Linked DNA regions of Drosophila melanogaster. The protein of the gene in region 1 purifies or fractionates together with the protein of each later gene. This does not show direct contact. Each region holds a gene or a part of one and is shown on either strand. Other genes may lie near its edges.

Region 1 (4,821 bases):
CCTTCAGGGATGGCAAATTGGCTGGTGGTCGCCTAGCGGACGGCACTTTGCCCAAGATTTGCATTCCATGTTTACGTGGCACTTGATTCTTTTGTGCAGATGGTTCACTTGACTCGCCCTGCAAACAATAAGAACAAGTTGGCGATCAGATAGGTTTGGATCTATCAAGATCTAGATGTAGATCTAGATCTAGGTCTAGGGGCTCGCTACTTACGCGGCTATTCTTGTACATGCGATTTATATCTAACGCTGTGAATTTGGGCTTGGCATTTCGCTCTCCCCTACTTCCCCCCAGTGTACTCATGCTGCCAATAGATCCTCATTAGCGTTAGCTTCCTTCTCGCCACCGCCGCGCTCCTCGTCTTCCCGCTGCGCTGGAGGATGGGCTAGGATGTGGCTGTGGTTCTTGACGAGAATGAGTTTAAGGAGCTGGGATCGCTTTTGGGCCGAAGCTCCTTGTTTCAGTCTTTCTGGTGGGCTGCAAAATACAAAAGCGTAGATAGGCATTTAATTGAGTATAGGTGCAGGCGTAGCGAGGCGAGGCTAGTCAGTTGCAAGTGGGTGGTGCTCCCGACAAATTGTTTTCAACACGCTGGTTATTGTGTGTCCGGGAACTCCTCTATTTAGCCACCCCCAACCGATCCGCACCACTAACGCTTACAGAGGTGGATCTGTAGCGAAAATTGGTTCTTCTTAGAAAGATATTGCAAATAATTTGGAAAATAACCTCTTCAAACAATAATAGGTATGGGTTTCAACTAAACCGAGTTTTAGTAGAAATGCTTTTGATATTTCATTTCCACTGAAACTAAAGAAGTTTCTTGGTAGTTTTCCAACACATGCTGTTGCGAAATACGTTCAAGTTCTTAATGCTTCGTTAAAGTAACAACTAGAGTGTAATTCCATTCGACTACTACCATTCGAAACTGTTTGTAGAATCATTTGGTATTTTGTTGATATTGCGTTTATTACGAAAACGTTTGGGGCAACTATTTCCCAGTTTCGCTCCCCCCTTTGATCCGACACTGAATGCAGGCAATGTTTGGTGCGAGCAGGACAGCCAGTGCCTCGCAGCACACGCAACTGAGAGGCTGCCTTGGGCGGGTGACAGCGGAAGCGGGACAGCTAGATAGATTTACCCACACACACACACCAGCGCCAGCAGCGGCAGAAGCGGCAACGCATTGAAAGAATTTTTTGCGGTGGCGTCTTGTAATAATTGCGGCAGGGGGCGTGAAGGGGCGGCCGAACAATGGCTGACAACTACAGCAACAATAGAAAAAACGGGGCCAGTAAAATCCTCGCAACAAGAGCGACAACAACAAAGGCCGGCATTTAAAATGTAACCAATTTGACAGATGCAAGTGGGGGGAGTACAAGACAATCTAAACGCTTGGCAACAATTCTATGTCTCCTTTTTGTAATAACAACCATTCACAAGCACAACGCACACTAACACCACGCAGGCACAGGCGCACACATCACGCACACACACACACTTACGTTCGCAGAAACCGAGAGGATTTGATAGTTATTATTTAATCGACGAGTGCAATTTTTTTTTTTGACCACCTTTTGTTTTACAGCCGTATCCTTTTATTAATTTTGCATGGCACAGTGGCTGGCAAAGGCAAACAAAGAGGAGAGACGAGTAAAATATACCGTTTAAACAGCACGCACGCACACAGCAATACACTCGGGGAGTTTCGTTTGTTGGGCAGCGATGATAAACTGAATGGAAAACGCTTGAATTTGTTTACTTCGAATGTTTCGCGGTCTGCTGGCACACTTGGCCGCCTGTATGTTGGTTATTTAACTGTTAACTTCGCGGAAATTGATATCTTTTGATTCTGCTTTTCACCGTCCAACATAAAGTTTGCCGCTAATTCTTCTTCCTCGAGTTCTTCCTCTACCACTTCTCACTTTTCGAATGTATTGCGTGCGTGAGTGGTGTGGAGCGCGGCGTTGCCACCTGGTCCGTTGGGATCCAGCCAGACCGCCGAGTGAAACTAATTCCGGGGGTGGCAGTCGCCTGGCAATTATTAAACAATTAGAGAGCGTGCTATTTAGCGATTAAACGGAAATTAACACGGACTCTATGCATCGATGCCGACAAAAAGAGAAAACGGACCACGATGACCTGCCGACGACAAATGCAACGCTGTTTGCGATATAGAGCGGGACAACATGACTAGCTGAACTTCCCTCCCACTCCCACACGTCGAATTTGACAGAACCGACAAAAATATTTCTTTGATACAATGCGTATTTTCTACAAACAAAATCACAGATTTACAAACCCGCTGTGCAATTAAACATAATTTAGCAAACAAATCTCGGTTCCGGCCTACTTCCAGAGCGAGAGCATGAGAGACCATAGAGCTTACCCTTTCGCACGCAGAGCACACACCGCAAACACAGTTCGTTGCTCCTTGGCTTCTTTCTTTCCTTCGCCTTTTTTTTGCACTCTTTCTGGCGCTTACTCAGCGCCCGTTTCGCCGCTTGTTAAAACACGGGACGAAAACAAAAGAGAGCGCAACCAAGACGAGACGTGCCGCTGCTGCAGTTGTTGTTGTTAGTCGCCTTTGTTCGCCAGAATCTTCGATTTGGTTGAATTTCGATTTCGATTTGGTTGCGATTTTCGCTATGTTGCGCTGGCTTTGTCAGCGCTCTCGCTCCCACTCACTTGCACTGCGCTCTCCCACTCTCCGCTCACTCGCGCCGTCCCTCTCGCGCGCTGTCGCTTTTTTGCAAGTGTAGGTGGAAAATGGTATCGGGTGAGGAGGCTTCGAGTAAACCCGTTTGAATTCGCTTTTTCCACGGGTTTTTGCCTTTCCTTCGCTAGGTTTTAGCTCTGCACACACACTACACACGCACACGAGTTGCGTTTCTTATTTGTTTTGATTATTTGCGTTGCGTTCTTTTCACGTAATACGTAATTGTCCATTAGTTTTAAATCGTATGTATTATTTTTTTGCCATTTTACGGCAAGCGTTGCCAGAGTTGTGTGGGTCGATTGGCGTGCTGCCTGACCGTCCGCAGAATGCCATCGTTTTGATGTGTATCCAGCGATATATTAAGTTTCATATTTTCGATTTTTAATTAATGGATAATCGTTTACAGCGTATTTTGCAGACAATTAAAAACGTAGACCATAAATTGTAAGAGAAATTAAAGAGAAATACTCAACGATCAGGGTGGCCACCCCGCAAAAAACTCCTGAGATGAAGTTTTGCCATTCACAATTGGATTCTGTTATCGATTCACGATAGGTGAATTATGTTGTTTACAACGAAAAACTGTTTAAATTTTTTATTTATTTGACTTTGCGTTGTGGTTCTGTTCGCGCGAAATGATTTGTCGCCTTTGCCTGCGATGTCTTAGTCCCGGAAGCGCTGTCTTCCTCTTTGAGACGGACGATACGCTTGCGGAGACGCGCCTGGTCAAGATGATTGCGAAGTTTCTGCAGCTGGAGGTGAGTGTATCTGGCAAATACCAATGGTATCAAAACAATTCCAATAAGCCATCCCATGCAGATCCTACCAGACGACGGCATCTCGACCAGCGTCTGTACCGAGTGCTGTGAGCATCTGGAGGACTTCAATGGCTTCTGGCAGCTGGTGGAGCAGAAGCAGTGCTCACTCAAGAAGGAGTTCCTTACCGTGGACGTCGACTGTGCGGCCATGAAGTGGACGGGCGGTGTGGACGTGGACGTCAACATCGACGAACTGCCGCTGGCGGCTGGCGACATGGACGAGAAACCGTTGGACCTGCACAACCTTAGTCTGCTGGGAAGCGTGCTGGACGTGAATGTGGACAGTGTGGAAGTCAGGGAACCGATCAAGGAGCAGCTGCCCTGCGAGGAGGAGGAGGACGAGAAGCCCTGCCTGCAAGCTAGTGATAGCGAACCGGAGGTGACCGAGGGGCAGCCGGAATCTGAATCTGACTCCTCAGATGGTTATTATCTTAATGTTTCCCAAGGATTAGCCGTAACTAAGTTCCTGTTCCATTGCAGATGAACCCCTGGTCCGTCTGAAATCGAAAATGAAGCCCAAGCGCAAAACCTCGGCACGTTCCTCCAAGGATCAGGGTCCGATATCGCTGCAGCAGGAGCTTGCAGATCTGCTCGACGATGGTGGCAAGCGTCGGCGCAGGAAGGCACCTGACCAGCGAACAACCACCGAGTCGCAGGAGTCCGAGCTACAGGCCGTTCTCGAGCGCAAGCCCAAGGGCTGCTCCCGTGCTCAGCTGGCCAAGAGCTACGAGAAGGCCATTGCTAGCTACATGAGTGCAAGCTGCGACCTGTGCGAATTTAGTGCTCCCTACCTATCCGAATTGAAGACCCACTTCCTGGAGGTGCACCAGCGCGAGTACTACATCAAGTGCTGCGGCAAAGTCTTTACACGCGCTTCCAAGCTGATGGACCACATCCGCAAACATATCAACCCCAAGCTATTTACGTGAGTTTGAAGCCCGAGGGTTCTGTCTGTTGCTACATAGACTTTAAAATCCCATAGCTGCACCATTTGCAAGAAGTCGCTCAACTCGCAGGACTACTTGGCCACTCATATCGAGACGGTGCACAACAAGGTGGCTCAAATCGGCAAGGTGCTCAAGTTCCCGTGCCCCAAGTGCGAACGCACCTTCAGCAGCGAGCGCCGTATGGCCAATCATCTGGCCAAGCACGACACCGATCAACTGGAGCACACCTGCGAGATCTGCTGCAAAAGGTGAGAATAGAGCAGGGTCTCTGATCGAATTGGAATTCTTGCCCCATATTTGAATTAGTAATCTTTATTCATTCCACACGCAAATGAGAGG
Region 2 (4,804 bases), on another chromosome or scaffold:
AAAGCAGTTGGGCTAAATATTTATTAACATTTTTCCCCAGCACTGCGCTATTGCGAAACTATTTTTCGGGCCATAATAAGTTTGCATATTTATGCATGTTATACAATTGCCAAATGTGCAGCGCAGCAAGTTAATGAATAAAATTCCATTCCACTTTCGGTGGGGTGCATCATTTCGGCCGGGTAGCATTTCAAGAAGCCCCACAAACTGGCAAATGGGTGGGGAAATTATTTCATTTTATGTTAATGATACGAACTAGACGGCTGAAATTGCATTCCTTGCGAAGGTGGTGGATGTACTTAATCGAGTTTATATTGTGCGGAAGGTAGCTTGAAAGTCAAGACAAATACTATGGAACGCAGGCAATTTAGTGAAAGCTGTTTATCAAGCCATCAAATGCAATAAAATTGTTTTTAGTTAAGCGACTATTCTCTGTCGGTTCTCTGTTTGAATTTCTTAAAGGCAAGTTATTACAATATTATAAATGATGGCGAATATTAATACGAAAACTTAATTTCAAGCTCTCATATAACATTTTTTCGTTCTAGCTTAGAACTTGAATGCTTAAAAATATATATAGTATCTGAAAGATATTTTCTTTAAATTCCTGACGCGAGTTAATTCGCCTGGCAGTGCCTGCTCCACATCTCGTTCCTCGTTGTGTCACGTGCAAATTGAGTTGTGCCGAAGCTTGGCGGTATTGGTGTTTGGGTGTTTGGGTGTGGGGATGGGTTGTGCGCGGAGTGGTGCGGCGGTGCAGGTGTGGATGAAATGAAACGTGCTGTGGGGCCCAATGAAGCCATGCAAGGAGTCCATGGACAGGCATACGCGGCTGAGTATTAAGCGTATATGAATGGGAGTAGGGGCACTTATGCCTCGCATTTTCACCCACATCCCAAAAAAAAAAACGCACCACCCACTTCCCGTGAGTGTGTTGAGATTTACGAGTTTGTCATTTGCCTTGCCTGCTTTCAAAGTCACGCACGTTACTGTTAACGAGTGTGTGGAGGGGGGGAGGACGGGGGCAGGGGTTATATCCTGGGTGTTGTTTATTTTTCTCTAGGTCAAAGCCTTAATTTGCCTGCGTGTCCTTTTGCCAACTTTTATTTTGGGCTGATGTGTTTTATGAATGAATCGTGGGCGGCGGAAAATTGTAAACAAAATATGGCAGCTATATATAGATTCATTGGGGGTAAGACGGTAATAAACTTGCAGGCGGCCGACAAATTGCATCCAACAGATACAGATACTGGCACGGAGATACATTCGCTGAACTTGAACTTCTTTCGCGGCCTGCGCCTCAATTTGTTTGGTTTTATTATTTATCTTTCTTTAAATTCTCTTTATTGCCATGTATCTGTATCTGTAGCTGTATCTTGTAGGAGCACAAGTATCTCCTTCTGTGTTCTTAGCTTTTCGCTTTCTGTTGTGCTTCTCGTTCCCATGTACTCTCCTTGTTTTATTTTCTGTTTTCGGCGCTTCTGTTCTGAGCGCGCCAAAAAGTATCTTGAAGATGTACGCACGTTACTGTTAGTTACGAGTATCTGTATCTTTGTATCTCTGTGTGTCGCTTTCTGGCACGTTTTCAGGGCCTCGGCTCAACTCTTCACAACCAGAAGAAGTTCAGAGCCCGCTGCTTTTTAATTTAAGTTGGCGCTAAGACAAACGCAAAATGTATCTATCAGAAACAGTTCTTCTTTTAAAAGTCATTACTCATTGCCATAAGTGTTTGCGGTCCAAAAAGAGAAGCCTCTGCCTTTACTGTAATATTATTATTTTATTTTGTTTATTTGTCTTGCACAAATAAAGCTCGCTGAAATTGCCTGCTTAGGTGATTGTGATTTTGTTTTTTGGGTCTTCTTTGAGCTTGCACTTATTGTAATTTGATCCTCGGATGACCAATAACAATTGTTATCTCTTTGTTTACATGTTTACGCTTGGAAAGTATTTCCTGTGCCCCAAATGCAAATTTCAATTGGAAATTTGTTTTTCTTTGGCTTTCGGTCGAGAGGTGAGTTTAATTGAGGGATTAGGAACAAAAGCGTAGAGTTTTATATTTGATTGGAGCTCAACATTTTTATACATTTGCTCAATTGGCTTTATTAATTGGAGTCGGTTTTATGAAAGGGATATGGCCATTCTGTTTGGTTTCTTGGAAACGTTCCTTACGATTCGTTTTCAAAGAGTTAGTTATGTTCTGTATGCGGCTATTTGTCTTTTTGTTTGATGGCTATGCTTAATTAATGAAAAAAAAAAACCATTTATTTAATTTTCTTTGGTACCACAAATAAAATGATTATATACGCAGAATAGTTATATATAGATAAAAGGTATACATAAAGCATCCCGATTTATATATACTTAAATATATGTATATTGTTAAATCCCTACTACAAACCTTAGTTGTTAATCCATGTCCTTTCACGAGTTTTTTTCCTCGGAAAATGTTGAGTACTTAGAAGCTATTGGAAATCCAAGCCAGTTTCACTATCCATTTGCCGACCGTCGTTGGACCGTTAGAAAAGCCGCGAAAAACCGCACGAAAACGAAAGTTGACAATAACAAACCGCGACGCGAAAACGGAACGAAGGGAACAAAAGAAGGAAATCGCGGAAATTGCAGGGAAACCCAGAGAACCGAGCGCGAAACTGGAGCTGCAAATTAAACCGGGACTTGGATGAAAAGCTGAAGAACTTGGAGCTGCAAGTGCGGCATCTGCGGGAGTTCTTGATTTTGTTTTGCTCTTGGATATTCTAATTCACTGGTCACATTGGTCACATTATTTGGGGCTGCCTGTTTTCGAAACTGGAACAAGTTAGTCGCGAGTCCTTGAACTCGATCACACCCACACCGAAGGGATAGTATATTCCCGAAAATCAGAATCAGAATCAGTTAGTTAGCTAGTAAGTCTCACACGCACTCGCACTCGTTTCTAGCGCTCGAACGGCGGCGGCGGTGCAAAAGTCCGTGTTTTGTAGGAAACTTTTCACCCGAAGGATACACAACAACTGAACTAACTGAACTGAAAATGAAAATGAAAATGAAGGAGCAAACATAAAATGTATCGAACAAGTTCGTGCTCGAAGCGAACAGGTTCATGTTCGCATCGAACCAATGCGGGCTCCACTCGAACTTAAGAATACAACAAGCATGACGACCGAATTCTCTTAACTAGCGGTTTTATATTGTATAATTCATTCAATACTTAAGCATTTTTAAGAAATGATTTTTAATTTATTTTTGTGCTTATTAGTCATTCGTAAAATATATTATTTTTCAGTTTGACCATCATTAAAAGATGAAGAGCAAGATTCTTTCGTTTTGAAATTTGTATTTATTTTTATGTTCCCTAAAAAGTTTTGTAAATTCTTAAATATTTAACTTCGAACTGCTGCTTGTTGCTGTTGCGCCTGCAACTTTTGGCTCGAGAGTCCTGGCACACACACACAAACACACAGCCGCACGCACACAGTTACATTTACGGCTGCATCCTCTCTCTTTCATTAACACACAAGCACACACACACACACACACAGCTGCAACAAGACACGGATACGAACATGCGGCGTTTGAAGTGCGCTTTTGTTGTTGTTGCTGCTGCTGCGCCGCTGTACAGTTGTTGTTCCAATTAAAAATTTTTTTCCCTAGTTTCGCGCTCACAATGCGAACTTGCAATCTATGTGCGCTACGAGATATTTTCTGCTGCCTTTGTTTTGATACCCTAACCAAGGAGCTTACTTAGCTTACTTAGCAATTAAGCACATTGAATTCAAGCATGCATTATATGGTAATTGGCGTATAGTTTATTGATTTATTTACAATTTTATCAGAATAGATAAGCTCGCAAAATGTGTTTCGAAATTCAGGGCATTCGCAGTTCGACCAGCCGAATAAGTTTTACTTTCCCGCTGCTGTTGCTGCGGTGCCGTGGACGTTGCTGCGGTGCTGTTGCTGCCACTGCTGCGCTGGACGCAGGACACGGAGGCAGGACCTTGTGGGCATGTGCCATATATCCTGGCATTGCACTGGCTGCCGTTGCGGGATTTTGGTACAATTTGCCTGCCATGTTTTGCCCCTTTTTTACTTTTGCGCAAAGAGCGGGGGCGGTTGATTTCATTTCACTTTTTTCTCGTGGCGGTCCTGTTGCAACCTCGTTTCATGCCAACTATTAGTGGAGCTGCCATTTTTTCGCCATTTCATAGAGAGCAATCCACGGCGGAAAATGGAAACCTTGACAGTTGCATTGTTGCCTGGCGCTGACAGAGAAAATAACAAAACAAAGCGAGTACGCGGAACGCTGCTGTCTATTTGCATTGCGTAATGGAAAATCATTCAACCTAGGGGCACAACCCTTAACCGACTTCGAATCCTCCGGAACCGAATCTCAATCTGAATCCGAATCCTCCGAACACTGACCTGTCCCATACGCAACGCATACCCATAAAATCCCTCGAGGAACCTCGAAGAAACATCTGCACAAACAACAAAATGCAGCCGGCCTTTTCTCCTCTTAGATAGTTCTTAAGTTCACGATCCGCAGACAAGTTCTTCATAGTTGGGTTTTCTGCACTCGAAGCTGCTGCAAGTCTCTCTTCGTTCTTCTGCATTCCGCTCTTTGCGTTTTTTTCTACTTTTTTCGCTCTTATTTGGCTTTTGCGTGTCCTTTGTGAGGACAGCAAAGGACATTCACACTGCAAGCAGCCACAATAAAAAGACGTGCGGCAAAGGAAACCAGAAATGTATCTGACAGTTGGTGCTGCAGAAGTATTTGAAAAATGAATGAAATGTGCGCACAGAACATGAA

The links. The genes of interacting proteins can lie anywhere in the genome.
Region 2: the proteins of nocte (region 1) and Tet purify together in Drosophila melanogaster (affinity purification with mass spectrometry, with the first as the bait; one large-scale study listed by BioGRID). This does not show direct contact.

Annotation. Positions count from the first base shown.
Region 1 is NC_004354.4:10,471,666-10,476,486, forward strand, and holds the start of nocte (no circadian temperature entrainment), read right to left. Parts: upstream 3,011-4,821; 5' UTR 2,388-3,010; exon of another isoform or gene 2,273-2,387; intron 1,923-2,272; exon of another isoform or gene 1,504-1,922; intron 479-1,503; 5' UTR 305-478; coding exon 215-304; intron 119-214; coding exon 1-118. Other genes in the region: CG2889 (uncharacterized protein), read left to right, coding at 3,353-3,475, 3,537-3,957, 4,016-4,460, 4,518-4,730.
Region 2 is NT_037436.4:2,876,135-2,880,938, forward strand, and holds the start of Tet (Ten-Eleven translocation (TET) family protein), read right to left. Parts: upstream 3,025-4,804; 5' UTR 2,399-3,024; intron 1-2,398. UniProt on the Drosophila melanogaster protein: Dioxygenase that specifically demethylates DNA methylated on the 6th position of adenine (N(6)-methyladenosine) DNA.